Oryctolagus cuniculus: one gene and its partners. The protein of the gene in region 2 purifies or fractionates together with the protein of the main gene of each other region. This does not show direct contact. Links are inferred from orthologs where the notes say so. Each region holds a gene or a part of one and is shown on either strand. Other genes may lie near its edges. The genes, in order: ATP5F1C, ATP6V1A and ATP6V1F.

What was found.
Region 1: the proteins of ATP6V1A (region 2) and ATP5F1C fractionate together in Homo sapiens (co-fractionation; 3 studies listed by BioGRID). This does not show direct contact. The link is inferred for Oryctolagus cuniculus from reciprocal best matches to the Homo sapiens genes ATP6V1A and ATP5F1C.
Region 3: the proteins of ATP6V1A (region 2) and ATP6V1F fractionate together in Homo sapiens (co-fractionation; 3 studies listed by BioGRID and IntAct, with this or other methods). This does not show direct contact. The link is inferred for Oryctolagus cuniculus from reciprocal best matches to the Homo sapiens genes ATP6V1A and ATP6V1F.

Annotation. Positions count from the first base shown.
Region 1 is NC_091444.1:75,502,731-75,512,651, forward strand, and holds the start of ATP5F1C (ATP synthase subunit gamma, mitochondrial), read right to left. Parts: upstream 5,302-9,921; 5' UTR 5,187-5,301; coding exon 5,131-5,186; intron 1-5,130. Other genes in the region: KIN (DNA/RNA-binding protein KIN17), read left to right, coding at 5,448-5,561.
Region 2 is NC_091435.1:69,750,146-69,760,131, reverse strand, and holds the start of ATP6V1A (V-type proton ATPase catalytic subunit A), read right to left. Parts: upstream 6,502-9,986; 5' UTR 6,229-6,501; intron 1-6,228. Other genes in the region: NAA50 (N-alpha-acetyltransferase 50), read left to right, coding at 6,567-6,601. UniProt on the Homo sapiens protein: Catalytic subunit of the V1 complex of vacuolar(H+)-ATPase (V-ATPase), a multisubunit enzyme composed of a peripheral complex (V1) that hydrolyzes ATP and a membrane integral complex (V0) that translocates protons.
Region 3 is NC_091434.1:165,050,959-165,060,890, forward strand, and holds ATP6V1F (V-type proton ATPase subunit F), read left to right. Parts: upstream 1-5,103; 5' UTR 5,104-5,308; coding exon 5,309-5,466; intron 5,467-7,425; coding exon 7,426-7,627; 3' UTR 7,628-7,927; downstream 7,928-9,932. Other genes in the region: FLNC (filamin-C), read left to right, coding at 282-491, 658-845; protein SPMIP1, read left to right, coding at 8,515-8,935. UniProt on the Homo sapiens protein: Subunit of the V1 complex of vacuolar(H+)-ATPase (V-ATPase), a multisubunit enzyme composed of a peripheral complex (V1) that hydrolyzes ATP and a membrane integral complex (V0) that translocates protons.

The DNA of each region.
Region 1 (9,921 bases), on a different chromosome or scaffold from region 2:
ACTATTTTATTTTTAAGTATAATTTGACTAGAGAATAGCCATGAGCTACTTAATTACCATTAGAGAAATCTTGCACTAACGAATATACAGCTCTGAACATGAGATGATAAGGAAAGCTCTGAAGTATTTCAGCCTGTCCTGAGAATTCCTCAGGAGATTATTGGAGAAACTTGAAATTTATCAAATAAGAGAGACTCAAATGCTTTGTGGATTACCATTATTTACTCTGATCATACAGCATTGTTAGAAGAGGCAGTGGAGGAGGGAGTTAGGAATGCTTAATCAAAGACCCAAGTTTTAGAGATTTTTAAGGAGTGTATAATGCTGTACAATTACAAAAATTAAGAAAGCTGCCACAGTGGCTAATTATGAAAGTATGAAGTATGTCTAATTCTCATACTAAATGCCTGCGAAGTCTATCACCCGCCTCTACACCAAAAAAAATAACTCCCTCATCTGTGATTTGTGCATTTTCTTTTCCTCCTTTGGCAAGTATAATAACGCTTATTACCTGTTTTATGTAGAAACTGTACTTCTAAACTTGTTTTTGGGCCAGCACTGTAGTGTAGTGGGTAAAGCCGCCTGCAGTGCCAGTACCCCATATGGTGCCAGTTCGAGTCCTGGCTGCTCCACTTCCGATCCAACTCTCTGCTATGGCCTGGGAGACCCAGAAGCTCCTGGGTTCCTGGCTTTGGATCAGTGCAGCTCCAGCTGTTGCAGCCATTTGGGGATGGAAGGCCCCTCCATCCCCACCCCACCCCACCCTGTGTCTTGAGCTCTCTCTCTCTCTCTGCTTGTCTACCTCTCTACCTCTCAGTGGTAACTCTTCCTTTCTTTCTTTTTTTTTTTTTTTTTTTTGACAGGCAGAGTGGACAGTGAGAGAGAGAGAGACAGAGAGAAAGGTCTTCCTTTTGCTGTTGGTTCACCCTCCAATGGCCGCCGCGGCTGGTGCGCGGCGGCCGGCGCACCGCGCTGATCCGATGGCAGGAGCCAGGAGCCAGGTGCTTTTCCTGGTCTCCCATGGGGTGCAGGACCCAAGCACCTGGGCCATCCTCCACTGCACTCCCTGGCCACAGCAGAGGGCTGGCCTGGAAGAGGTGCAACCGGGACAGAATCCGGCGCCCCAACCGGGACTAGAACCAGGTGTGCCGGCGCCGCAAGGCGGAGGATTAGCCTAGTGAGCCGCGGCGCCGGCCATCTTCCTTTCAAATAAATAAATCTTTAAAACAAACAAACTTGTTTTCATTTTTCAGCTGATACATTTAAATCTATACCGGTATTTCTCCCTCTGTCCTAGGCTCTTTGCAAGTACTCAGTCCTTACACTAAGCCAATAGAGCACTCTTTTTTTTAATTCTCCTTTAACAGAGGACAGACTGGCGGCACAGACACTAAGTAACTTGTTCAAGGTCACACAGCCATGTGAGTGGCAGCCATCAGGATTTAAACCCTGGCAGTTTGGCTCCAGGATCTACCTGTTATACATTCTGCTGCCTCGCACCTTTCTTTTTTTCATGTATATAGTTTAGTTTATGGCTACTGATGTTCCTATTTTAGAACAGTTCCTATTTGGAGAATATTGAACATTAATGCAACAAAAATCTAGTTTCTCCAGAACCAGGGACTCCTTTTTTCAAGTTTGTTTCCATTTTCTTAAATGCTACTTCTGGCCCAATTTCCAAAAAGTGAGGGTACTTTGCTGATATGAAAATATACTATTAAATAACTTTTAATTAGGTCTAATGATTTTAATTAAGTCCAATGCTTAGTTAAAGCAAACATGTTAACCTCGCTGAAAACAAACAAACAAAAATACTATAAAATACCAAATCGTATTTCAAAAGCTTTCAATTTCAATAATCAAAACAGAACCAAGGCCGGCGCCGCGGCTCACTAGGCTAATCCTCCGCCTAGCGGCGCCGGCACACCGGGTTCTAGTCCCGGTCAGGGCGCCGGATTCTGTCCCGGTTGCCCCTCTTCCAGGCCAGCTCTCTGCTGTGGCCAGGGAGTGCAGTGGAGGATGGCCCAAGTGCTTGGGCCCTGCACCCCATGGGAGACCAGGAAAAGCACCTGGCTCCTGGCTCCTGCCATCGGATCAGCGCGGTGCGCCGGCCGCGGCGGCCATTGGAGGGTGAACCAACGGCAAAGGAAGACCTTTCTCTCTGTCTCTCTCTCTCACTGTCCACTCTGCCTGTCAAAAAAAAAAAAAACACAGAACCAAGGCCGGCGCCGCGGCTCACTAGGCTAATCCTCCGCCTTGTGGCGCCGGCACACCGGGTTCTAGTCCTGGTTGCCCCTCTTCCAGGCCAGCTCTCTGCTGTGGCCAGGGAGTGCAGTGGAGGATGGCCCAAGTGCTTGGGCCTTGCACCCCATGGGAGACCAGCAGAAGCACCTGGCTCCTGCCACCAGATCAGCGCGGTGCGCCGGCAGCAGCGCGGCGGCCATTGGAGGGTGAACCAATGGCAAAGGAAGACCTTTCTCTCTGTCTCTCTCACTGTGTCCACTCTGCCTGTAAAAAAAAAAAAAAAAAAAAAAAAAAAAAAAAAAAAAAAAAAAACAAACCAAAAAACAGACCCAAGGAAATATCTTGTCATGGTTCTGTAAAGGCAAAAGTATTTATCTCCCCTTCCAAATTAACTGTGAAATGTGAAACATTAAGATGGTGCTAATTGGGCTGGCGCTGTGGCTCACTTGGTTAGTCCTCCACTTGCGGTGCTGGCATCCCATATGGGCACTAGGTTCTAGTCCCGGTTGTTCCTCTTCCAGTCCAGCTCTCTGCTGTAGCCTGGGAAGGCAGTGGAGGATGGCCCAGGTCCTTGGGCCCTGCACCCGCATGGGAGACCAGGAGAAGCACCTGGCTCCTGGCTTCAGATCAGCGCAGCGCCGGCCATAACCGCCATTTGGGGAGTGAACCAATGCAGGGAAGACCTTTCCCCTTCTCTCTATTGTCTATAACTTTGTCAAATAAATTAAAAAAAAAAAAAAAAAAAGATGGTGCTAATTTCTGAATTCAAAGGCCAAGTAGAATTTAAATTTGTATTTATATTATTCATTTACAAGGCAGAGTGACAGAGACAGATAAGCAGGCAGAAACCTCCCATCCATGGGTTCACTCTCCAAATGCTCCCAACAGCCAGGACAGCTCCAGGTTAAGCCAGGCGACTGGAACTCAATCCACATCTCTTGCATGGGTGGCAGGGAAGCAAGTAACTGAGCTACCCACCTGCTTCCTGGCAGCGTGCACACCAGCAGGAAGCTAGAATGGACAGTGGAGTCAGGACTCCAACTCCAATATGGGACACGGGTGTCCCAAGAGGTGGCTTCACTACTGTACCAAACAGCTGCTCTATGAATTATAATTCATAGGAAGACAAAGGGTAGAAGAGGCAAGAAGGACCTTAATCCAAACATCGGAATATGTGAAGAGGTTGCTTGATGAATATTCAAAACCTATCAATTTAAAACAAAAGTTCCAAAGGTATTAAGGTCAGGACTACAACCTTTATTTGCTAACTGAAGTCCCAATTTGGGCTCCATGCAGCTGCCTCAGACCAAGGGCTCTTTTTTCAAAAAAAAAGAAAAAAAAAACAACCCTACCTTTATTAAGAGACTTCTAAATTGTCTTACATGTTTTTCTTAAAAGTGACTGCTAGAAGTTCATGTAAAATATTTTTCTCCATTTCAGAAACTCTCCATTTTTAAAATATCTACTTGAAACTGTGAGTCTAAAAATACTAGCAGATAACATCAATGCAAAGGGAGATGGGAAGAAGAGGCTATGATTGCCGAGTTACATGGCTGGCCTGGAAGCTCACCAAGGCCGCATCTGTTTGTTCAAACCACAGTGTAGCACTTTTCAGTGTCAACCAGCCAGGGTAAACACTTAGCAGATGCTTGCTGAGAAGTTACTAATGGGAAAATCTACACATCTAAGAATGTGGCTGTCCTGACTTCTGAATTTCTATGAATATTCTTTCTCGACCGGAAAAAAATCTAGCTTCCACGGCCATCTCTCCAAAAATTTCACATACACAATTCCCATCATATTTAATTAATTGTACATGGCTATCACTTCTTAACGAAAGAAGTTCCATTTCAATCAATGCTTCACAGTCCCATCACAAATTACAAGAATCAAGTGTCTGGAGCTCCCTAGAAATCCCCCACACTGTAACACCAGGGGTTTGCTATGACGCCGCTGAGAGCTAACAGTCCCCTGTGCACCCTAATGTTCTCTCAGACTCTGGCTTCACAGCATTTCATCCCATTATACAGCACTACCCGCAAACACACTTTTATCTGGCCATTGCTGAAGCCGCCTAATATGCGGTCCCCCCCACCCCACCCCCGAGGAACTCAAGTTGAAAACCTTTAAAACGTGGAGCGCCCTTCACCTGCAGTTAACAAATACCACTTAAAATTCATCTCCTGAGGACCTTGGCGCAATCACATGACCTTGCAGGGTGATGGTTTCAGGAGGGTGACAGATGGCTTTCCTCTCCCCATTAGCAGCGAAGGCCTTTAAGGTCCCTTCTGCACCGAGACGACCACCACCCTCATTTTTCCAGTAACCCAGCGAAGCGCCCGTCGCATATCGATAAGCGTATTTGATGAATGTGCTCAGACTCGATTAAGTCTTAAAGGGTCACACTGCCCAGTCCTGGAAGGTTTCAAGGACACAGAGCACCACGTAACCGTCTCCTAGGCTTGATCTCACATAATCCCCCACCCCTAAGCTTGAGGACCCGGGCTAACGTCTCCCCCAGACTTGCTGCCTGGCAGGAAGCGGAAGCTCAGGAAGTCCTTATTAGCTGAATGAATTCAAGACCGCCCTGACACGAACTCGGACAAAGGTCTCAGTCCCAAGATTCCAAATGACCCCTCCAGCCTCAGGGGACTTGGCAGGGCCTTCCTCCCTCTGACAGCAGTTTCGGCCGCAGCGCGCGCCATTCCCGCTTCGGAGCCGCTTCCTGCAGCCCGGGGCTGCCCGGGGCCTCTGCAAGACACGGGGCCTAGCCAGGCCCTGCACCTCCCGGGTTCGTCCTGCACGCCCCCACCGCCTCCTCCATCCCACCTGACCAAGCTCTTCTACCCTTCACAGTTCTCCCGATCCTCCCATAAGCTGCCATACCATTGCGGTTGCAAGGCCCTGGCCGACAGCCCAGCGACGCTCGCCCGAGAAAACATGGTGGCACCGGCCTTGCTGAAGGTCGGGCAGACAGGGCTTACTGCGCGCGCGCGCAGGCTTCCCCACTCGCCCCTCCCACCTCGCTTGCTACAGTAGTCTCGCTTGCTCTCGCGAAATCTCGCGAGTGGTGGGGCCCAGCCTTCCCCGAGGTCCCACCTTTCCCCCGGCTTGCAGCTTTGTCCCGCCTGCCCCACCAACCCAGTTCCGCTTCCGGTTGCCGGGGTGCTGAGGTTCTGAAAGTGGTCTCTGCGGTGGTCGTGATGGGGAAGTCAGATTTTCTTACTCCAAAGGCCATCGCCAACAGGATCAAATCCAAGGGGCTTCAGAAGCTACGCTGGTATTGCCAGATGTGCCAGAAGCAGTGTCGAGACGAGGTGAGTGAGCCCGGGTGGCTCCCTCCCTCCAGGAGGGCTCGTCGCTGGGGGTGAGGGTGCAGGTCTCAGGGGCCCACTAGTGAGGCTTCTTTTGGGGTCTGCGCTGGGTGAGTCAGCTGCGCAACTCAGTGGAGTCATCTTCCCTGCACCCCCGGCTCCACGGGGACCTGGGGGTCTTCGACACCCCATTCCTCCTAATCCACCTGCCCCGAAGATATGAATTCGGAAAAGTTTGCAGCTCCGGTGTGGAAATGGATAGTGCGGTGCCAGCCGTCCAGGCGCTAACTAACCTGCTCTCTGACTTAACATGCCTCTTAAGAGAAAAAGCATGATTAGAATTCAGGATCAGGTGCAGAAGGAAAACTAAGCTCTTCCACGCTGCATATCTAACAAGCATTTGTGGAGTATTGACTGTAGGATAGGCTGAGTTCTATCGTGGTCGAAACTGTGGACTTATCCGGAGCCGCACTGTCAAAATTAGGCAGCCGAGCCATGCGGCTTATTCGTTGTGTGATTTGGGGAAGTTAACGTTGTCTTTGCCTGTTTACTTCTCTGTAAAGTGGAAATAATAATTATACCTCCTTGTAGGCTTGTTTTAAGTTTTTTAAATCAATGAATTACATGCGAGGTGGTTTTGGGAGTCCTAGAACAAGCCTTGTGTATCAGGCTATGGAGTTTATACTTTTCCATTAAGTGAGGTGGATGATGGAACCCAGAATTGAAGACCTTGAGAGCAGGCTAGTGACGTGATCATATTTTTTCTTTGGAGATTAGATTGGATAGTAATGAAAGAACATAGAGGCAACTGGAATAATCGAATCCAATTTCTGCACATGAGTGAGATGTCTTAGGTTGGACTCACATTAAACGGCTTCTGTCTGGCATTTCTCTTTAGTTCTTTCTGTTCTAAGTCAACATGAGGTTCTCACAAAGAAAGCCAGAGACTAGAACAGTGAACAGCCATTTGTCCACTCCCCAGTGTTGTCGTCTGCTTGGATTACAGTACCAACACCGTGGACCGAGTGGTCTGTTCCTCACAGTTGCAGAGCCTGGGCAGGCTGAAGTCAGGTTCTGGGATAGCAGGGTTTTGGTGAGGACCCTTTTCCTGGGTCATAGGGGATAGTCCTTCTTTATCTTTACAAGGTGGGGAGAGAGCAGCTCTAGCTCTTTCTTTTTTCCCATATTTTATTTATGAGAGAGGGAGAGACACAGAGAGAGGTCTTCCATCCGCTGGTTCACTCCCCAGATGGCTGCAACGGCTGGAGCTGTGCTGATCCGAAGCCAGGAGCCAGGAGCTTCTTCCAGGTCTCCCACGCGGGTGCAGGGCCCAAGGACTTGGGCCATCTTCTACTGCTTTCCCAGGCCACAGCAGAGAGCTGCATCGGAGGTGGAGCAGCTGGGACTCGAATTGGCACCCATGTGAGATGCTGGTGCCACAGGCGGAGGCTTAGCCCACTATGCCACAATGCTGGCCCCCTCTAGCCTTTTTTTTTATATAAGGGTAATAATACCACCACAGAGGCTCGACCCTGGCAGTTTTGTCTAAACAAAATTACCTCCCAAAGGCCCCACTTCCACTTCTTTTTTTTTTTTTTTTTTTTTTTTTTTAAGATTTATTTATTCATTTGAAAGGCAGAGTTAGAGAGAGGGAGAGAGACAGAGATTTCACTCCCAAATGTCTGCAATGACCGGGGCTGCAAAAGGTCCCACTTCTAATGTCTTGTTAAGGATTAGGATTTCATTGTGAATTTTGGGGGACACAGGCTTGCAGTTTTTTTTTTTTTTTTTTTTTTAAGATTTATTTTATTTATTTGACAGAGTTACAGAGAAGTAGACACACACACAGAGAAAGAGGTCTTCCATCCACTAGTTCACTCCCCATATGGCTGCAACGGCTGGAGTTGAGCTGATCCAAAGCCAGAGCCAGAAACTAGAAGCCAGGAGCTTCTTCTGGGTCTCCTGCGTGGTTGCAGGGCCCAAGCACTTGGGCCATCTTCTGCTGCTTTCCCAGGCCACAGCAGAGAGCTGGATCAAAAGTGGAGCAGCCGGGACTGGAACTGGCGCCCACATAGGATGCCAGCACTGCAGGCGGTGGCTTTACCTGCTATGCCACAGTGCCAACCCCAAACATGCAGTTTTAACAGTTGATGTATTTTGCCATATTTTCTTTAAAAAAAAAAAAAAATGTCACCTGAGAGGCAGTTCACTCCCCCAAATGCCTGCAACAGCTAGGGCTAGGCCAGGTTGAAGCTGGGAGCCAAGAATTCAGTTCCAGTGTCAGGGACCCAGCCACTTGAGTCATCACCTGCTACCTCTCAGAGTGTGTATTACAGGGAAGCTGCAACTAGGAGCAAAGCCAGGAGTCAAAGCCAGGCTCTGCAATATAGGATGTGGACTCCAGTACAGGAGGCAGGTGTCCCAAGTGGTGATTAACCACTAGGCCAAATGCTCACCCCTGCCATACTTACATGTCACTGAAGTGTTTTAAAGTAAGTTATAAATATCAGGGTATTTCACCTCTAAGTACTAAAGTGTGCATTTCTGAAATGTCAGGATATAAGGGTGGAAGTTAGGACACCGTTAGGATGCCCGTGTGCCTCGTCAGATCGAGTTCCTGGTTCAGGACGTGGCTCCACTCCCCATTCCAGCTTCCTGCTAATGCAGACCCTGGGAGGCAGAAGTGATGACTCAAGTAATTGGCTTCCTGCCGGTCGTGAGACCTGAGCTGAGTTACCGTCTTGCAGCCTCTGCCCCATTCGGGGGCTGCTGCAGATTTCTGGAGAGTGAAGCAGTGGATGGGAGCTTTTTTCCCCCCATCTCTGCCCATCAAATGAACATCAGTTAATCAATCAATCAATACAGTATCAAAATAACCACAATATAGGTCATCAATAGGACAAAGCTAGTAAATTCCTATCATCTACACACTCTATATTCATGCTTCCTACTTGTTGCCCAAATTATTTAAAAGCAGTTTTTTCAAACCAAAATTCAATTAAAATCCATAAATTGGATTGGTTGTTAGGACTTTTTTTTTTTTTTAAATAGACTTTACTTTTTAAGTTGTTTTTGGTTTACAGCAAAAAGCAGCTGTAACACACTCCCAAACACTCCCCTACTTAACAACATCCTTCCCTAGGATGGTACATTTGTTATAGTGGATAAACCTACATTGACACATCATTATCCTCTAAAGTCCATCTTACATTAAGGCTCACTCTTGGTATTGTACATTCTGTCAGCTTAAATAATGATGGGAATCCACCATTATAGCATCTTACAGAATAGTTTCTGGCCCCCAAAATCCTCTGTCTTAGGTTATTAGAACTTTTAATTCTCTCTCTTACAATTCTAAATTTGTAACAGGATCCCTCTCCCCTTTTTTCTTTTTTTTAATTTTAAAAAATTTCTTCTTTTCTTATTTATTTTTTTTTTCTTTGTGTTGATTTGTGAAGGAGGCCAGTCAGTTGTCCTGTAGCATTCCCACGCTATGAACGTGTCTTTGGCCTTCATCTTCTAGCTCTTATAGTTCCTGTCAACTGGAACTTGGATATGAAGACTTGATTAGGTTCAGGTTAAGCATTTTAAGGAACAATATTTTGTAGGTGACCCTATGTGTTTCATATTGCCTCACATAAGGAAGTCTGTACTGTTTAATTATGCTAAGATGATTAAATAAGGCTGACAGCCTGTAAAGTAATATTTTTCCCTATGTGAGAGCAACTTTACTAGTGGGTTACTATTTGAAATCATGTCCATATATCTAATTACCCATTAACCTTTTACCTGTGTATTGTAGCATCCTTATCTGAGTCAGTTATTTCATTAGGAGTTGCAAAGTGGTTTTCTTTTTTCTTTTTTTTAAGATTTATTTTATTTATTTGAAATACAGAGTTACAGAGGGATGCAGAGAGAGAGAGTCTTCCAGCCGCTGGTTCACTCCCCAAATGGCCATGGTGGCCGGCCTGGGCCGATCCGAAATCAGGAGCTGGGACCTTCTTCCAAGTCTCCCAAGCGGGTGCAGGGGCCCAAGGACTTCCCATAGCAGAGAGCTGGATCGGAAGTGGAGCAATTGGGACTTGAACCAGCACCGATGTGGAATCGTGTGGCAGCACTTCAGGCCAGAGCTTTTAGCCATCTGCGCCACCCAGCCTGCAAAGTGGTTTTCTAGTTATGTGTGCATTTATTATTTGAAGCTATTCTTTTGTAAAAATGAGCTTTTGTTCATCAACTTGGCTGTTTGGTTATGTTTAAACTTCATCCTGAAATGTAATTCCTATTGGAAAAGAACAAGTTTTTTTTGTTGTTGTTTGTTTGTTTTTTAAAAATTTATTTTATTTATTTGAAAGGCAGAGTTAGA
Region 2 (9,986 bases):
CAGCTTCAGCCTCATTCAGTCCCGAATGTGGTGGGCATTAGGGTAAACCAGCAGACTACTTTTTTTAAAATTAGATAATTGTTTTAAATATTTTACTATTTACATTTAAACCTTACTCCACCTGAAATCATGTACTGGCTCAATTTTATCATCTTCTAGATGTATTAATTCAATCAATTATATATATATATATATGTCTTTTCCTTCAATTAATTATCATTTTGTTATGTACTAAATTTTCAAATATAATATTATTTACTTCTGCTTTTTTATTATTCTGGTACACTTACATAACTAAACCTAAAATATATCTAAATCTAACAAATTCAATTATAAGTTCTTTATACAAATAAGTCAAAATATTTTCACTTAGATATCCAATAAAAAGGAAAGAAATACTTAATGTCTTAATTTTCCATATCAAATTTAAATTTTTACAGATTACAGAAATTCCCATGTACAGACTGTTTAATAACAATTTTAAATGTTTTTTTCTTAATCTAGAAATAGTTATTTTGCTGCATTTTCTTCCAACTTTTTACATATGTAATCACTACTGCACATATCCTCTTTCTTCAGGTATTTTCCAATTTAATTAATCTCCTCTATTGCATCATAAAATAAGTTTTCTTAAAAAAATTAAGATAGGAAACAACTGAAATAAAACTTAAGAGTCCAATTGCTTTTCACTAATCAAGCACATCTGGAGTTCCTCTGCATCATATCACACACCACTCATTTCATTTTCAATGAAATATAAACATCATTTTTCATGAAAGAAAATATGGCATGTTGTAGGTATAATTAAAAAAAACACACAAGGATTTTATTTATTTATTTGAGAGGTAGAGTTACAGAGAGAGAGAGGGAGAGACAGAGAGAAAGGTCTTCCATCTGTTGGTTCACTCCCCAAATGGCCACAACGACTGGAGCTGAGGCTGATCTGAAGCCAGGAGCCAGGAACCTCCTCTGGGCTTCCAACATGGGTGCAAGGGCCCAAGCACTTGGGCCATCTTCCACTTCTGTCCCTGGCCATTAACAGAGAGCTGGATGGGAAGAGGAGCAGCAGGGACCAGAACCAGCACCCATATGGGATGCTGGTGGCACAGGTGAAAGATTAACCTACTGTACCACAGCACCAGCACTGGTATAATTTCTTAAAAAAAAGTTTATCATCAAAAGAACAGCTGATTCTACCAACAGCATTAAGAATCAAAATTTTATTGCAATTAAGTTATAACAATGATAAATTATGATAAAAATATTATATAAGAATTAAAGTGTTTCTAAAATTCAAATCTAAAAATGTCAATTTTTAATGTATTTTAAAAATTTATTTATTTATTTGAAACAGAAATAGGGAGAGACAGAAAGAGAGAGTATGTTCCGAAATGTCAGCAACAGCAAGTGCCAGGCCAGGCCAAAAAAAGGAATCAGGAACTCCATCTGGGTCTCCCACATGGGTTGCAGGGGCCCAAATACTTGGGCTATCATCCACTGGGTTCCCAGGCACATTAAAATCAAGCTGGATTGGAAACAGAGCAACGAGGACTTGAATCCAGATTGTTGATATGGGATACTGGCATCACAAGGGGCCTAACCTGCTGCATCACAACACCAGCCTCCCATTTTTAGAAATTGGTTAACCACAGTTGTGAAACTTATTAAGTAGAATTAACCACAAAAAAATAAATAGAAAGAGGAATCTACATGTAAATAATTAGATGATTTTATCCATAGTACCAATAATTTCAGTTAATGGCTAGTTTCAGGTAAAAATAAAGATGTTACTATGAAGATAAACATCCATTTCAGATGTCTTTACATACAGACATGCATATATCTTATAATCAAGTATTCACATAATGTGCATATATAATGTATAAGTACTACATATAAAAGAAAATGCACTTATAGAAACCTAAGTCTAGGGGCTGGCACTGTGGCACAGCAGATTAAAGCCCTGGCCTGAAGCGCCGGCATCCCATATGGGCACCGGTTCTAGTCCCAGCTGCTCCTCTTCTGATCCAGCTCTCTGTTATGGCCTGGGAAAGCAGAAGATGGCCCAAGTCCTTGGGCCCATGCACCCACATGGGAGACCCGGAAGAAGCTCCTGGGTCCTGGCTTCAGATTGGCGCAGTTCCGGCCATTGTGGCCATTTGGGGAGGACGGAAGAGCTCTCTCTCTGTCTCTACCTCTCTTTGTAACTCTGTCTTTCAAATAAATTAAAACAAAATCTTAAAAAAAAATACTTAAAATTTTTAAATGTAATGATTAACAAAAGACCCTGTTCTACAGTCTGTGCAATTACAATATATTTCTATAAATCACAGAAGAACTGCTTCCTTAAATGCATCCTACAAACGAATGATCACAAGCTTTGGAAAATGTTTACTGTATGCAGAAAATACTAAGTGACTGTGGTTGCCAAATCAATGGACTTTATGTCGGTATTTCTCAGCTCCTATCAATAATTCTGCTTTAGAACTTTGCTGTAAGTACCTTTTTCTTGCCCTTTTTTTGTTTGTTAATAGCCTCATTTCATATTCTGCTCCTTGCATCGCATATTGGAGTACCTGGGTTCAGTTCTCAGCTCTGGTTTCCAATTCCACCTCCCTGCCAATGTAGACCCTAGGAGGCTAGGTGATGGCTCTGTTCAGTGTGTTACCTCCATCCATATGGGAGACCTGGATTACAATCCTGGATTTCTGCTTCAGTCCCAGACCAGCCAGAGCCACTGTGGGCATTTGGAAAGTGAACCAGCAGATGGGAACTTTCTGTGTCCTCTCTCTCAAAAAAAAAAAAAAAAAAAAAATTCTATTCCCTTCCCTATACTCTAGTGCTGTTGGTCAAGAAGGGGGTATTAGTCAATTCTGTGGAACGTGTAAGGTCTCCTTTAGAAACTCAGTACAGAAAATCAAAATAAATGTCAGTAAAGTTAATAATAAAAAATTTACAAAAGTAAGTATTAAATACTGTAAGACTGTAATCAAATTTAAACTCACTTATTTGAAAGAGTAAAGCATAAAGGAACTTAACTGATATAAGTGTCCAACGTCCCATAGTTCATAAGTGACAGGGTCAGAAGTTGAACCCAGTTCTCTAAAACTAAGAAATTCCTGTAAAGTCTGTACTATATTACTTTACAGTCACATACCACTTAGTTCTTAGAATACTGTCTCATAGATTATTATCAAGGTTATCTTACTCAACTTCACAACATCTGCGAGAGAAGGGTTCCTAAGCATCAAACCTGTAATCTCCTATGACCAGCTTTGCTTAAAGGGTATGGAACTAAAGTGGCTGAGCTGAATGAAGATCCTCTGACTTCTAATATAGCATTATACCACTTGTAGCCCATACACAATCACTTTTTTCACTGAGCACAACTCAATCCTCTTTCCTTCCTTCCCATATTTGAACGGTAACCATATCTGTTATTAAATACACATATATGAAGTGAAAATAAGTTGGTCACTGTATTAACAATGTTCATTTCAGGTTTATGTTTATTCCATTGACTATACATTGGAAGGTTATCATTAACAAGTGGCATTTGCAAGCTTATGTTGACTGCACAACCTTAGAAGGTACAAGGAACTGCAACAGGTAAAATGGTTTCATCTCCTTGTCTAATTGTCCAACACTCATTTAAACAATTTAGTAAGTACCTATCAGGAACTTCAGCATTCTGGTGTTCAAGACACACAGGAAAGACACTGCACTTGAACCCCTAAGATCTTTATGGTTAAATGAAAATAAGGCCACAGACTGCAACGTGCTGGAAGTGAAAAGAGAACAGAAATTACTATGCAATAGTTGACAGAACTGAGTGGCTACCTTTGCCCGGGGGGAAGAAAGCATTCTCAGTGGTGGAGATCATCTGTAAAGGCGGTGAAAACAAGCCCTCACAGGAAGGCCGCTAACACAAAAGCCCTATGTGCTCCTGAGTGGTGGACTACAGCACAATGTTCTACATAAATGTTAGGATTTTAACATATAACACTCATAGACAGATAAAGCTACTCTAAGAAATGTCTTCCAGGCTTCAAGACCTCTGTGTGTGTGTGTGTGTGCGCATGCGCAGGTTTTCATTGTGTATGTTAAAGCTCTTTTCCCCATTCAGTCTCAGAAGCAATGTAGTCACCAATTCCTGCTGCTCATCTGTCAGATTTCCTCAGTGATCTCCATTACTGCTTTCATAAGTTCCCTAAAGTTGGAGAAATTGTGAAGTAAAACTGCAAACTCATTCAACCTCTTCAATACTGACATTTCACCCCGCTAGGACTCAATGCTTTGTAGCTGGTTTTTCTCTCTCCCGTTTTGGTTTCACCCAGACAGGACTGGTTTGGACTACCACAGTGCTCAAGGAGCTATTTGGTAGAAGGTCACCTGGGCAATGAAGCAACACTTCCCCACCCCCCTTCTCTCCTCTAGAGATCAGGAAACCTCACTCTGGAAAAAAAACTCATTAATAAAATTGTATTTGCATCTGTAGAAGGCATGCCTAATAAACATTTCAATAGATAACTGTTATTGACCAGTATGAACAACATATAAGTACAACATGCTAAAACTGTTGCTTTTTCCTCTTCTGTTTCTTGTGGTTGTTTTTGTTTTTAAATCTGTGCTTATTAGAAAGGCAGAGAGAGAGGGAGAGAGAGCTTAATCTCTGTGCCAAACACCCACCCTCAGTAATCTTCTTCAATACTTGAAGACAGCAAGATCTTCAAGATTGTGTTTTTCCAATAAGGAGCACCAAAAGGCCAGTTTTTCTACGGTAAACTTCATAACAGTTTATTGAAAAGAATTTGGAAGATACAGAAAAAATAAAATTAAGTCAGTCACATCCACCAAAGACGATTCCATCTTCCTCATTTCTCAGCTGTCTTTCTAATGGATTCTTCAATTTCACTGGTTAGAAAACTGCAACATTTTAGCTGAGAATATGAATTTTTCATTCTAATTGAAAATTTTAAAAAAATCAAGTCTGTCATTTTTACAACACCTTTCCATTTAAAAGAAACAAGGAGCTTTCTGAGTTGGTAGTACAAATAAAATACTTTAACCCAAAACTGAAAAACATTCTTCCCTAAAGCATTCTGTTTGGGGTCAATACACTGTCTACCACATTACATGCAAAATAGGTTGGGCAAAATCCTAGGCAAAACAATTTCTGTATGTCCACAAAATATTATTCATCAAAATAAGAGGTCATTTGGAGTTTTACAAATGGAGAAAGCTAAGGAGAGAGAAAAGCACTACTTAACACACATATACCACAAAGCTAGTCCAGGCATCGATTGGGAGTGGCAATTAAGTAGGATTTTAGGGAGGAACAGGAAAAAAAAAAGGTTGACAGAAGCAGAAAACATGAAGTCAACAATATCTAGACTTAGTCTTCTTACCTTTAAGTTTACAGTCAAATAAATCTGGTTTACTTTTATTTCCAGCCCGTTCCGTTTCCCTTGCAGGGAAACGTAGGCACTTTTCCATAAGCTAGCCTGAGCCTCCCGCGGACCACGACGCTGCAACACCATCTTTCAACGCCTCCCCATTCAATCGAGAATGTCGCAGTCCCAACACTCCCTGTTTTGGAGATAGTTAGGCCTTCGACCTTCCTCGTTCACCCTTCTAGGCCCACCCGAAGCCTAGGAACACCTACAGAATCTCTCTTGCGAGGATGTCAGATAAAGATCCTTAGAATTACTGAGGAAGCACATTCAGAGGGAAGCTTTCGCGTGACTCCGCAGCGAGGGCCACATCAGTGACATTCCCTCCCAAGCCTGTCTCGCAGGAGACGCCTCTGCCTCCAGGGTTTTTCCACCGTTCCAGCTCCCCAGCCCCGGACGAGGGCCTTGACCGAGGAATGAGCTTTGGGGAATGGGGACCCGGTGGCAGTGCAAACCCCCCTCCCCCGAAGGAATGGATGAACCAATTCTACTACACGGAGCCCCAAAGATTCCGAAGAGGGTACGATAATGACCGCATTCACTCCCAAACAAGGAAAAAGTGGACACCTCAACCTCCAGGTAGTAGGGGCGACCACGGTAGGAGGGATGGGAGGACAGGGGTCAGGAGACATGGAGAAATAAGCTCCCTGCCGGCGCAGAGTGACAGCGGGAAGGATGAGCCGGGCAACGGAGGCCGCTGTTCACACTCCCCCTTCTCCCTCCTGCCACCCCCTGGGCTGTCCCCACCAGTCTCCAGTTACCGGTCGCCGCTCACCTGCTGGGGCGCGAGGTGCACAAGCAATACGGATCACCGACCCAGAGGCTCTGTCACTGCGGGAGGGGAAGTCTTCAGCTGCGGGGGAGGGGCGGGCCTAACCATTCACGTGACCTCGAGCTCCGCCCCGCCGCCCCCAACCCGGCGCGCTGCATTTCGGGGGTTTGCGTTTTTTACGGATCGCTTGAATACGCATTTTTCTAGCGATCAAAACAAAAACTAAGCCTAAGTTTTCACCACGATTAGGTTGCAGAGTGCAATGGAGAAAAGTGCGGATGGCAAGGGTTAAAGTGCATTGCTAAGGAAGTGACGTTCACGCCCAGCTCCACGGACCGGAAATGGCGATGGAGTTCCGAGCCACTGGCGCCTGCCGGTAAAGTCCCAGGCCGTAAGGCTTAGGCTAGTCACGTGATCTCAAAACGGTGTGCCTGGGGTAGCGAGTTATCCGGCCGATTGTTAGCTACGTTTGTTTCTAAAGCACCTCATTGACTTGAGCTTTCCACACTTGTTTACACTTACAGGAACCGGCTTTACAAAACCCTATTAGACAAAAGCGTTTGGCGGTCTAGCTGGTGACCATCAACTAGAAAGAACAGGGTCGGGAAAGACTGAACTTGCTGATTTGGGAGCGACGAGGGAGGGGTGGAAAAATCCGGATTTCGCCGCCCGGGCCTACCAGGCAAGCCCCACAGCTGCTGTCGTAACGGGTAGGAGGAGCAGCAGCGTGACGCCCGAAGGCGCAGCCCAGTTGGGAAGATGGAGGTCTTGGAGAGGAGGGGGAAGGGTGCGCAGAGGCGAGTAGTGCGGCTGCGCGCTGGGCGGCGGACGCGCCGGCGCGCAGAGGGGGCGGGGTGAAAGGTCACAGCGGGGCGGCGGGGCTGGCTGGCGGCGGCGGCAGCGGGAGCCGAGTTCGCGGGTGCACGTGTGGGGCAGCGCAGGCACCCTAGCGGCGGCGGGAGACCCCTCCCACCCCCTCCGGAGGCACAGGGCCGTGCTCGGCTGTCGCGGTCTCAGTCCCACGCTCCGCTCCCTGCCCGGAGCGAGGAGGCCGGCTCGGGAGGTTGAGTGGCCCGAGCTGAGAGCGCTGAGGGCTCTGGGCGGCGACGACGACGGCGTTGATAGCGGCGGTAACGACGGCCTCAGCAGGCGGGGAAGATGAAAGGGTGAGGAAGGACAGCCGGCTGGGGCCCAGCCGGGCCCGTGTAATGGGAGAGCCGCGGAGGAGGGGAGTCCAGGGCGAAGACTGCGCGGTCGGAGGCTTTTAGGCTTTTTCTGTTTGCTCCGCTCCCAGAGGGGGCGGCGGCTCGGCGCGGGCTGTTAGACTAAAGGACGAAGGGAGGCGAGACCCCGGGAACGCAGGATTTCGGCGCCCCAAGGACGACTGTGTGCTGAGCGGAGGCCAGCGGCAGGGCCCGGAGGCCACTGTGAGGCCTGGGGCCTCCTGCCGGGGAGCGCACGGCTGAGCCAGCCGCGGCCCGCCACTTCAGGTGGAAAGGGGCTGCTTGTCCTCCAGGCGCAGGCTCGGCGCTGCGGCCGCCGTTTTTGACAACCTTCCCATTTTGTTCACACGTGGGATTTCTGCAGAATCTTCTGGAGGGAGAAGGGTCGGGAATGAAGAGCCTGGGGATGAGTATTAAGAGCTAGTGACTCAACTGGATTTGGGTTGGGTCAGCGAGTGGAGGAGGGGGAGAGCGCGCGAGCCCTGTAGACTCGGGATGCCAAAACGTTTAAGGAAGTCTTGTGCATCAGTAGGTGGAGCTGTTGCTTCAGTGGTTCACCGTTTGCCCCTGAGTAGTGTGAGGGGGGTCGTGGGTTACCACAATGCTTTCCTTAGGTGATCACGGTTTCCCTCTCGGATAAAATTAAGGATTGTTTAGGTACGACTATTCCCATTAGGATAAAATGTCTATTTACCATTACTTTATGTATTATTACAGTTTTAGTAATACAGCATTGTGTTAGCCTAAATTGCATTACCTAAATCAGCCGTTTTGGAGCTTTGCCCTACAGTCCTTAGAGAGAGAAATGGAAGCTTGTAAATGTTAAATCTCTGAAATGCCTGAGGTTTTTTTCTATTAACATAAGTCAGTTGAAGAATTGTAGCTACGCTGTAAATTAGTGAAGTCTTTAGACTACTCAGCGGCTCCCGTGAGGATGAAATGTGTACTCGGTACTGCGTAAAACAGGTCTAAATATTATCTGTGTATCTCCGTTGGAAGTCTCAAGAGAAATTCCAAGAAAGTTTAATTTGATACTGGATCTGTAACAAGTTACTTTACTGTGGTTTTGCTTTAAATAAAGTTTAGGAAGCAAATTCACAGTACCTACATTAATTATTTCATATCAAGTTCTAAAGAGTTCCAATAAAAATTAATTGAGTATGGGAATTATATACTCCTTGAATCTTGATCTAGGGAGTTGCACTACTTTACATATGATCCAACATGTTTTCAGAGTTTTTTTGTTTGGTTTTTACTGGACTGAACGTGAGTATGGATGATGTCTCTTAGTGTATTTTCTTTACCAGAGACACTCAATACATGTTTGTTGTTCTGTTAAAATGATAAAGTTGAGGAGTTTTTAATTTTGAACTGTGCTGTGGATTTAAAGGAGGGTCCTAAGAAATTATTCTGGATGTTTAGATCCAAAATCTTTGATCTAGCTCAGTCTTCATGGGATGCAATGTTCTTTCTCATAGGTACTACCTTGGCTAGACTTGGAACCGAATAGATATTATTCACAATTTACTTTGAGTGCAGATACTCAGGAAGCTATTGTCTTTTTATTTAAAATGGATATTTGTGCATAACCTGATATGGGCAGATTCTTAGAAATGAATAACTGGCTAGAGTTCGTGGGGACTGTTAGAGTTAATGAGTCAGTACTGATAAATGATTGTAAAGCAACTATACATGAAGAGTCCTTACATGTAGTTCCTATCATTTAGGATTAGGAGCCTACAATGTGTTTTTTACTGTGAACTTTCTTTTTATTTTTTATTTTTGACAAGCAGAGTTAGACAGTGAGACAGAGAGAGACAACGGTCTTCCTTTCTGTTGGTTCATCCCCCCCCCCCCCCCATGGCCGCCACAGCCGGCGCACTGTGCCAATCCGAAGCCAGGAGCCAGGTGCTTCCTCCTGGTCTCCCATGCGAGTGCAGGGCTCAAGCACTTGGGCCATCCCCCACTGCCTTCCTGGGCCACAGCAGAGAGCTGTACAGGAAGAGGAGCAGCCGGGACAGAATCCGGCGCCCCAACCGGGACTAGAACCCAGGGTGCCGGAGCCGCAGGCAGAGGATTAGCCAAGTGAGCTGTGGCGCCGGCCATGAACTTTCTTTTTAAAGATTTATTTATTTACCTATTTGAAAGTCAGAAAAGAGAGAGAGAGAGAGATACTCCATCCATCTACTAGTTCACTACCCAGATGGCCACGGCCGCCTGGGCTGTACTAAGCTGAAGCCAGGAGCTGTCTCCCAAGTGGGTGCAGGGGCCCAAGGACTTGGGCCATTTTCTGCTGCTTTCCCAGGCGCATTAGTATGGAGCAGGATCGTAAATGGAGCATCTGGGACTCGAACCAGAAACGGTTCCCAAGTGGGATGCTGGCACTGAGGATGGCGGTTTAACCTGCTGCTCCTCAGTGGTCGACCCCTTCATTGTGAACTAAAAGATGATTTCTTAAGAATAGTCTAACCTTCAATATGAACTGTAAGGTTGACTTCAAAAAAAAATTTTTTTTTTGCTTCTAAGTCTGTGTCCAAG
Region 3 (9,932 bases), on a different chromosome or scaffold from region 2:
ACGGGTCCCTCACTCTGTGAGCTACTTGAGTTTGCAGACAGAGCCTAAAGGTTTGAGAGACGGAGCCATCACAGGCCCAAGACCTAGGGCTGAGAGAGTAGATCGCAGCTGGTAGCTCAGGCAGGCGTTCGGCCTAAAGATGGGAGGCAGGCGCCTGGTGCAGGCCGTGTGGCCTGGGACTGAGTCCCGCGGGGCTGTCAGTGCTGGCTGGGGGCCCACTGCCTGGGGAGGGGCAGGGAGCCCCTCTCACAGGCTCTTGCACATCCCGCCCTGCCCCGCAGGTCCCCGGCTGTCTGGAGGCCACAGCCTTCATGAAACGTCCACGGTTCTGGTGGAGACCGTGACCAAGTCATCCTCAAGCCGTGGCTCCAGCTACAGCTCCATCCCCAAGTTCTCCTCGGATGCCAGCAAGGTGGTGACGCGGGGCCCCGGGCTGTCCCAGGCCTTTGTGGGTCAGAAGAATTCCTTCACCGTGGACTGCAGCAAAGCAGGCAGGCCTGAGGGGGGAGAGGAACGTGCTCTCTCGGGGTGGGCTCGTGTGTGCAGGGGCTGGGGGTGGGAGCAAGCAGCAGCCAGGAACAGGGTGCGGGCCGTGGGGGGAACAGGGTGCGGGCTGTGGGGGCCCAGCGTGAGTGTGTCCCTCCACCTCCTCTCCAGGCACCAACATGATGATGGTGGGTGTGCACGGGCCCAAGACCCCCTGCGAGGAGGTGTATGTGAAGCATATGGGGAACCGGGTGTACAACGTCACCTACACTGTCAAGGAGAAAGGGGACTACATTCTCATCGTCAAGTGGGGCGACGAGAGCGTGCCCGGAAGCCCCTTCAAAGTCAATGTGCCCTAATGCCAGAAGTGCCTCCCCCAGCCTCCGCCCCCTCCTCCGGCCAGACACACACAACACACACACACATACACACACACACACACACGCCACACCCAGATGCACACGTGTGGAATGAGACACTGCCAACGCCTGCCCTGGGTGTGCAGCGAACGGCTCAGCCTCCCCACCCTGCTGCCGTGCCCTTGATGGGTGGAGTGCCTTGTCTTGTCTCAGGACAGTGTCCCTCCCCTTGAACGTGGCATGAGGGCAGACTGGGGCCAGGCCCGGGGACAAAGGCTGGACAGGGGGTTGGGCAAGCCCTGAGTCCCCAGGAGAGCACATTGTTGGAGGTGTCTGTGTGTGTGACAGATGTCATCCTTCAACCACACTGCTGGCCCCGGGTGGGCGGGGAGGGGAAGGCCTGCTCTGAGGATTGTGTCTGGCCCCCCTGGTGGCCACACCCCCAGCGTGGAAGGACTTGGAAAAGAAGGCACAATCAGAGAAGAAAACAGACCCGGAGCGAGAGCCCGTGGACTGCCCGAGCGATGCACACCCCGCCCAGCCTTCCCAGGGGACTGATTTCTCTCCGTTTTTTCTTTTTCCTTTTTTTTTTTTTTTACGGTTGCACAGCTCTGCCCCATGGGGGGCCTTTTTTACACACTGCGAGGCCCAGCTTTCTGGGGGGATTTTTGCACATGTCTGCGGCTCATCTGGGAGCTGCCTAGGTAGAAAACTCCAAATAAAGTACGGCTGTCGCAGAGGCTCGGCTGTTGCTTGTGAGTGCGCGCCCCGGGCTGGCGGCCTTCCAGCCTCTCGACACTGCGGTCCTGGGCAGGCGGAGGCTGGATCGCCATCCCCAGAGGACAGGCCCGGGCTCGGGCAAGATCTGGGCTGTTGGCCGAATGCTTGGAAGAACCTGTGATGGCCGCTTGGGGATGAGGGCTTGGTCCTTAGCTAGAGGGTTGGTGGCTAGTACAGGGTGGGGGTGGGGGGACTCCATGTCTTAGAAGACTGCCCTAGATGGCTAGTTCTAGTTCATCCTGTCCTCAGTGTCTGGATCAGACTGGGCCTGCGCTACCCCCACCTGTAGCCCTGAGCTTGCCTGGGCCCGGATTCCTGGACCAGCCGCCTCCATTAGGCCCCCCTGGCCCTGGCCAGCTCCCTCCAGCCCACCCTCTGGGCTGCAGCTGGAGGAGGGGCACCCTGAACGCACTGTGGCCGGCTGTGGTTTGTGCCTTTCTGTGGCTCCCTCTTGCCCCCGGCTAACGCCTACTCTTCCAGGCCGAGACCCAGGAGGCTCACTGCCAGCCCCTCCACCGGTGCGACTCAGGCAGTGTGCCCACTCCACACCATCCACTCCAACCCCTCCTCTCGGCCTCATGAGTCCCCCATTCCTCTTGGCCAACAGGAAGCTGCCTGGCCCCCTCCCTGGCTCAGCAACCCAGCCTCCATACGGCCCAGGCTGCATTCACCGTTCTGATCTGGCCTCTGCCGCCAGACAGCTCCTGGCCAGGAGGCCCTTCTGTGGGTGCCAATGACTCAGTTCAAGAGCACCCGAGAGGCTGAGCAGGACCAGGACCCGCCTTGCTCGGTGGGCCTGGCTATCCCATGCCGGTCCCCAGGCATTGTGGCGCATGGTGGCAGGTGCACCAGGGAAGACCCGAAACACTTGTAGCTGCAGCTGGTAACCACCTCCTCCCCGCCTCCTCACCCTTTAAGCTGCTTCTCTTCCCGCTCAGGGAAGGAGGGACCCTGCCCTCCTTGCTCTGGACCCTGCCCCCAGGCCCCGCAGGAAGCTCCTGAGGACAGAAGTTCCCTTTTACCAACCCTGTGTCTTCGGCCCCTGATGATAATCCCACTTGATAAAGGGTGGCTGCAGGAAAGAGCGAGCGGGTGATGAGTGTGACGCTGTCCCTGCCCCTTCCGTGACTGGCAAGCGCATGGAAGGTGCTGTGTCCTATTAAGCACCCGGCACTCGTGACCCCCGCAGGCCAGCTGGGCGCCAGGCACTGCGCCCAGGGCTCGGGGCAGGCCCTTCCTCCCACCCCTCCTGCCCCCCGCCCTTGCATGGAGGGCTTCCTCTGAGGGTTTGCTGCCTGCCGACTGTGTGTGTGGGTGCATTTCCGGGTCTCCAGCCCAGCCGCTCGGGGCTCTGGGTGCTGAGTATTCATGGGCCCTTTCTCACTTCATCCCCAGAACAGCCCTGTGAGGTGGGCGCAGGATTAGCTGAAGAAACCCGGGCTCTGAGAATGGAGGTCCTGGGCCCAAAGCCACCCACTGCTACGTGAGGGGCCCGCATTCAAACGCAGGGGTGTGCACACCCCAGGCCTCTCGTGGGCCAGCCATGCGGGCATCTCACGCGCTCCTCACACACAGCTCGTGCCCGACGCTGGGGATGTCGTTTGTTGAAAGGGAAGATAAATGAGTGGTCCTTTCCCCTTCAACCTCCTCATCTCACAGAGTCCACTATTTCCGGAACATTCCTCATGTCATTTAGCTGCACACACCAGAAACCTGGGAATCACCTGGGCGCCTCTCCACCTTGCTCTCCACATTCGACTCAAAAACCAGTTTCGGGGGTGGGTGTTTGGCACAGCTGTTAAGATCTTGCTTGGAACTGCTGCACCCCATGTTGAAATGCCTGGGTTCAACACTTTACCGGCTTTACTCCCAATTACAGCCTCTTGCTAATGCAGACCCTGAGAGGCCACGGGTAATGGCTTGAGTAATTGGGTTCCAGTCACCCACACGGGAGACTTGATTGAGTTCCTGGCTCCCAGCTTTGGCCTGGCCCAGAGCTTACTTGTTCGCTCACGCACTCTCTCTCTCCTTGTCACCCAAATAAATAAAATAAGCAAAAATCAGTTTGGGAGCAGGTGCTTAGCCTAGTGGTTAAGACACCAAACTCTGGGCCCAGTGCTGTGGCATAGCGGGTAAAGCCACCGCCTGCAGCGCCAGCATCCCATATGGAGCTGGTTCAAGTCCTGGCTGCTCCACTTCCAATCCAGCTCTCTGCTATGACCTAGGAAAGCAGTGGAGGATGGCCCAAGTGCTTGGGCCCCTGCACCTGCATGGGAGACCTGGAAGAAGCTCCTGGCTCCTGGCTTCAGATTGGCCCAGCTCTAGCTGTTGCAGCCATTTGAGGAGTGAACTGGTGGATGGAAGACCTCTCTCTCTGTCTCTCTCTCTCTCTCTGTGTCTGCCTCTCCATAACTCTGCCTTTTAAATAAATAAATAAATCTTAAAAAAAAAAAAAGACACCCAAATCCAGGGGCTGGCATTGTGATGTAGCGGGTTCACATCCCAGCTGCTCCACTTCCAATCCAGCTGCTTGTTAATGGCATGGGAAAAGCAGCAGAAGATGGCCCAGTGTTCGGTCTCCTGTCACCTATGTGCATGTGGGAGACGCAGATAAAGCTCCTGACTCCTGGCTGTGGCCTGGCCCGCATCCCAGACAGGAAGACCTGAGCCAAATTCCTGGCTGCAGCGTCCCGACAACGCACACCCTGGGAGGCAATGACTCCAGTAACTGGTCCCTGCCACCCCCAGGGGAGACCTGGGTCACATTACCAGCTCCTGGCTCTGGCCCAGCGCAGCTCTGGCCGTTGCAGGCAGTGAAAGGGGGCTTTCTCTCCATGTCTGCCTCTAAAACAATTAGGGTTTGTCCATTCTTCTCCAGCCACCTCCTCTATGACCACTGCTGGAAATCGGCCACCATCTCTAACCACAGAGGCGTCCCAGTGTGCTCTCTGCTCCTGCAGCCCCGCCTCTGTGCACCACAGTCACACGGGCAGCTCTAGAACCGCTGTCCTCAGGGAAACCTCCAGATTCTTTAACTTTTCCTGAATGCCCTATACTCTCCAGTGCAAGTGGTTTTTGCCTTACCTTGAACACTTAAGATGGGTGCAGGGGCCCAGGCACTTCAGCCATCTTCCGCTGATTTCCCAGGCCATGCAGGGAGCTGGATCGGAAGTGGAGCTGCCCGGACTCGAACCAGTGTCCATTTGGGATGCAGGCGCTACAGGTGGGTGCTTAGCCTACCACGTCACAGCACCTGCCCCTCAGTTTAACTTCTAATTCCATTCTCCCACAAACTTTCTGTATTCAGTAACTGTTAACTATGAGTCATGGCTACATACATACATACATGATACAGACATGTTCTTGCCCTTGAGAACAGCGAGTGCAGTTTCTCCTGCGGGGTCCCACAGCGCTGCTTCTGCAGAACGAACCAAGCAACGCCAATAGGAAGCCGTGCGGCCGCTCAGCCTTCTGGGAATCGTAGTCCTCGGGTTCGGCCTCTCTTTATGGCGCAGGCATATTCAGGTTGAGGCGGCCTTGCTGTTAATGCGCATGTCCTGGAGGCGGTGTGGCCGAACTGCGCATGTCTGAAAGGCGGGGGCGAGGCCAACCCGGCTACAGGTGCGGAAGCTGGGATTCGGGGACTTCGGGAGCTCGGGGCCGCTCTCTGCGCCGCGACCAGGATGGCAGGGAGGGGAAAACTGATCGCGGTGATCGGAGACGAGGACACGGTGACTGGCTTCCTGCTGGGCGGCATCGGGGAGCTTAACAAGAACCGCCACCCTAATTTCCTGGTGGTGGAGAAGGACACGACCATCACCGAGATCGAAGACACTTTCCGGTACGGTCGCCTGAGAGGCCTGAACGGGCCCTTCTGCCGCCTGGGTGGGAGCGAAGGGGCGAGGGGCGGCCGCCCGGGGACCGAGGTGTCAGACCCCGACCCGAGGGCGGGCCTCCTCACGCCGGCCTGGAGGCCTCTGCGCCCCCCGTCCCCCGTTCCCTCTTGCGATTCGGTGGGCCTGAGGCTGTGGTCGTGACAGGTCCGCGCGCTCCCTCTCACATGACCGTGTGTCAGGAAAGAAGAGGAAGAGAGCTGGTGACGGGCACAGCCGGCTGCGAGCCTTGCAGGCGCTGGGCTGCTTTGCGCTCGGTGCGCACCCGTGGAGCCGGGCTTTCTCCTACTTCCACATCCTCTAGGGGCTCCCAGTCGACCTGGAAGGTGGGGGTTAGTGTTCCCATTTACAGGTGGTGGTACCCAAAGTCAGGGCTGCTCACACCTTGCACCTCACGTCCTCCTCTCCTGCCCTGGGTCAGGGGCGACGGTCGCAGCTGAGCCTTTTAATCCGCAGGTGTCCTGGTGCTAGAATGGAGCTGCCCTGGTTCCTTCACCCCTTCCCTTTGCCGAGTCTCAGGAATTCTCTCACTTGTTTCCCCCTAAACAGCCCAGCCCACAGCTGCTGGCTGAAACCAGTTCTGCTGCCTGGGGTACCGTGGGGCTTTGCCCTGGGGAGGCAGCTGTCTGCGGATCACCAAGCAGTCTGGCAGGGTGACCCGGGTTGTCATGGGACAAGGAGGAATTTTACTCCAAGGATTGTCCATGCTTCCAACCAAAAAGAAACTTCGAGATCAAGTGTTGCCGGGCACAGGGTCGGGCACAGGGTGGGTGCCCAGGACGGAGCTCTTCCTGAGAAATAACGCACGGGCCGTCCCGGGCCAGGGCTCCGCAGGGCCAGGGCCGTCTGTGCGGAAAGTGCGAGCCCTTCAGTGCTGAATTCCTCTTCCCACCTGTGCTTTGGCCTGGGCCAGGCACCCCGTCCTCCCTTAGCACAGACATGGTGACCTTGAGGCCCCCTGGGTCCTGTTTTTCGAAAATGTAATGGATTTGGTTTCCTCTGGACATTGAATGCCTTCATGTGGTTTCCAATTCAGTTTTTAAAAGGTATACATTGAGGCCGGCGCCACGGCTCAATGGGCTAATCCTCCGCCTTGCGGCGCCGGCACCCCGGGTTCTAGTCCCGGTCAGGGCACCAGATTCTGTCCCGGTTGCCCCTCTTCCAGGCCAGCTCTCTGCTGTGGCCCGGGAGTGCAGTGGAGGATGGCCCAAGTGCTTGGGCCCTGCACCCCATGGGAGACCAGGATAAGTACCTGGCTCCTGCCATCGGATCAGCGCGGTGCGCAGGCCGCAGCGCACAGGCCGCGGCAGCCATTGGAGGGTGAACCAACGGCAAAGGAAGACCTTTCTCTCTCTCACTGTCCACTCTGCCTGTCAAAAAAAAAAAAAAGGTGTACATTGAGGAGCCTCCTGCCACACACACACACACACCCCATCTCCCTGTCTGCTCCTGTAGACAGCCATTTAGCTTCTGCCTGATCACTCTCCTAGCTCTTCATGCAGATAGGAAGGGATGCATAGTTGCTGGCGCTGGGGCACAGCGGGTTGAGCCGCCGCCTGCAGCGCTGGCATCCCAAGTCCAGGCCGAGTGGCATCTTAACCGCTGAGCCGAATGCCCGCCCCACACGTATCCCCACCCTTCCCTGTCTGATAGCAGGGCAGCACCCTGAGCGCACGCGTGGACACCCTCATCTTCAGCTTTGGTTCACTCGGAAGCTCCCCAGGCAGGGGCGTACAAGCAGGCCCTGGCTAACAGAACCCTGAGCTCTTGAGTGCAGTTGATTCTGGGTCAAGCAGACTCCACCTTTGCCCTGGTCCTCTCTGCTCCCCGGGTCACTCCTCTTCCTCTGCAGTTCCGAGCGGGCCGCCGGGAGCTGCCCCGGACTCGCTTCTCGTCTCTCCCGGCAGGCAGTTTCTCAGCCGGGACGACGTCGGCATCATCCTCATCAACCAGTACATCGCGGAGATGGTGCGGCACGCGCTGGACGCCCACCAGCGCTCCATCCCGGCCGTGCTGGAGATCCCCTCCAAGGAGCACCCCTATGACGCCGCCAAGGACTCCATCCTGCGCAGGGCCAGGGGCATGTTCACCGCCGAAGACCTGCGCTAGGACACGCCCCGCGGAGCACGGCCCTCAGCCCCTCCCGCCCTTCCAGGCCTCTCCCCGGCTTTGTCCCCAGCCCCGCTCTGAAGGTTCAAGCCTCTGATTTCCACGTCTCCACTCCTTCCCACCCCAGGGAGAGGCTGTGTGAGGGGCATCTAGGTTGCTGGGATGCTGCTATTAAAAGCCAGGCTGGTTAGGGAACAGGAGGCCTGACCGTCTTCTCTCTCCACGACCTCTTCCCCGTGCTGTCGCCCAGTGTCGTTGTCCATGTTAAATTAAAGTAATATTCTGGCTTCTGTCCAAAAACTGGGCCTGGGTACTGGACAGGAAGGGGGGGGGGGGAGATGAGGCTCCTGGGGGAGATGAGATTGGCAGGGGTGGAAAATGTTCCACCAAGGACCAGGCATGGACGAGCTGGCCCAGGAAGATGTGCCAGGAGGCCCTAACTCAGGCACTGGCCCTCTGGTTCAAAAAGACCAGCTGGGGGGGTGGGGGTACGAGGCTTGAGCCCAGCCTGTGGCTCTCCCGCCTCAGTCTGCACTGGGCAGAAGGGGGCCTGAGCCGGGGGAAGTTAGCAGAAAGCACAAGAAACCTGGGAGCCGGTGATACCAGATCCTGCCCGGGGCCTGCAGCGCCAGCCGGTGTCAGGATCCCAGCACTGGGCCCGGGGCCTGCAGCGCCAGCCGGTGTCAGGATCTCAGCACTGGGCCCGGGCTCCAGGCTGCCTCAGGAGTGGGGCGTGTGAGGTCTGTGTGGGCGCAGCAGGTGGAACCCTGCCCCTGTGTGAGGTGAGGCCTGGTTGCCTGGTGACTGCCCCAGGGCGGCCACCTGCTGCCAGCCGCAGTGTGCTTGCCGTGCTCGCCCTTGGCACGGCTCCCCCACCCCCTGCCGCCATGTCTCGGCAGCTCAACATGGACACGCTGCGGCAGAACTTCTGGAAGGAGGACTATTTAAGGGAGAAGATGTTGCGCTGTGAATGGCACCGCAAGTACGGGTCGCTGGTGAAAGCCAAGCAGAAGGCTAAGGCCGCAGCCCGACTGCCCCTCAAACTGCCCACCCTGCAGCCCACGGCCCCACCCGCACCCCCTCCTGCCCCCGGAGCAGCCCCTCCCAAGGCGCCCAGCCCTGCCGCAGAGGCTCCCCTGCAGTCGGAGATGTACCCGGTGCTGCCCGCCACCCGGGCCCTGCTGTACGAAGGCATCTCCCACGACTTCCAGGGCCGCTACCGCTACCTGAGCACGCGCAAGCTGGACTTGCCCGAAACACGCTACCTCTTCCCCATCACCACCAGCTTCACATACGGCTGGCAGCTCGGTGAGCCCTGAGCCCCGCAGGTTAGGCACCTGCCCCACAGCAGCGCCAGGTGCCAGGGAGCGGGCACATTCAGGAAGAGAAGGGAAGGTACAAGAGGGACAGGCACCATGGAGAGGTCTGGGGGCTCGGGAGAGGCCTCTGGGGCCTGAAAGCTGAGCACTGCATGACAAAGAGGAGTTGGGATTTTATTGAGAAGCCAATGGAAGGTTTTAAGCAGTGGGTGGTCCTGATTGGCTTTTTTTAAAAGAATTACCCCAACTGTTCTATAGGGAATGGCTTTTTTTTTTTTTTCCTTTAGTGAGAATTGGAGACTGGTGAGTTAGGCATCTGTGTTGAGTTATCCTGGCATGAAATGACCGTGACCTGGGCTAAGGCTTAGCAGTAGCGCTGCAATCCAGGGTACTCCGGAGGAACACTCAGTGGGACTCACTGCTGGACTGAGTGTGGGAGTAAGGAGCCGAGGGAGTCCATGGCGGTGCCCCGGTGTGGCTGGAGCTGCTGTGACAGGATAGGGCTGGCGAGGGCAGGGCTGGAGGGTGCGCTGGCTCCAGGGCTGTGCTTGGGTACCAGGGAGACAGCTGTGTGCGTCAGTCTGGCTCTCAGGAGTGAGGTCAGAGTTGAACGTACAGTCAAGAGTAGTCATTATAAGTGCTACTTAGCTCTGTGAGGTCAGGGACGTCAGCTGGGGCGCCCAGGCTGCGGGGATCCGATAGGAGGGGCGGCAGATGGAAGGCCAACCGTCTAGACCATCTAGAACCGTGTGTGTTTGCCTGAGGCTGGGAGGGGAGGAGTCTGGGGAGTGGCGAGGCTGAGATGAGTCAGTGTGTGGGGAGAGGAGTGGGCCGGCAGGGCTGCTGCATCCCTTGGCTGTCTGTGCTCCTGAATCTCAAGTGAGACTGTTCAGTCCTGGTCTGCACCTCAGGAGTGTCTGTGCAGGAGGGGAGGTGGCTGGGCTCATCACCATGGAGACTTCACCCGAAAACTTCCCGTATCTTCC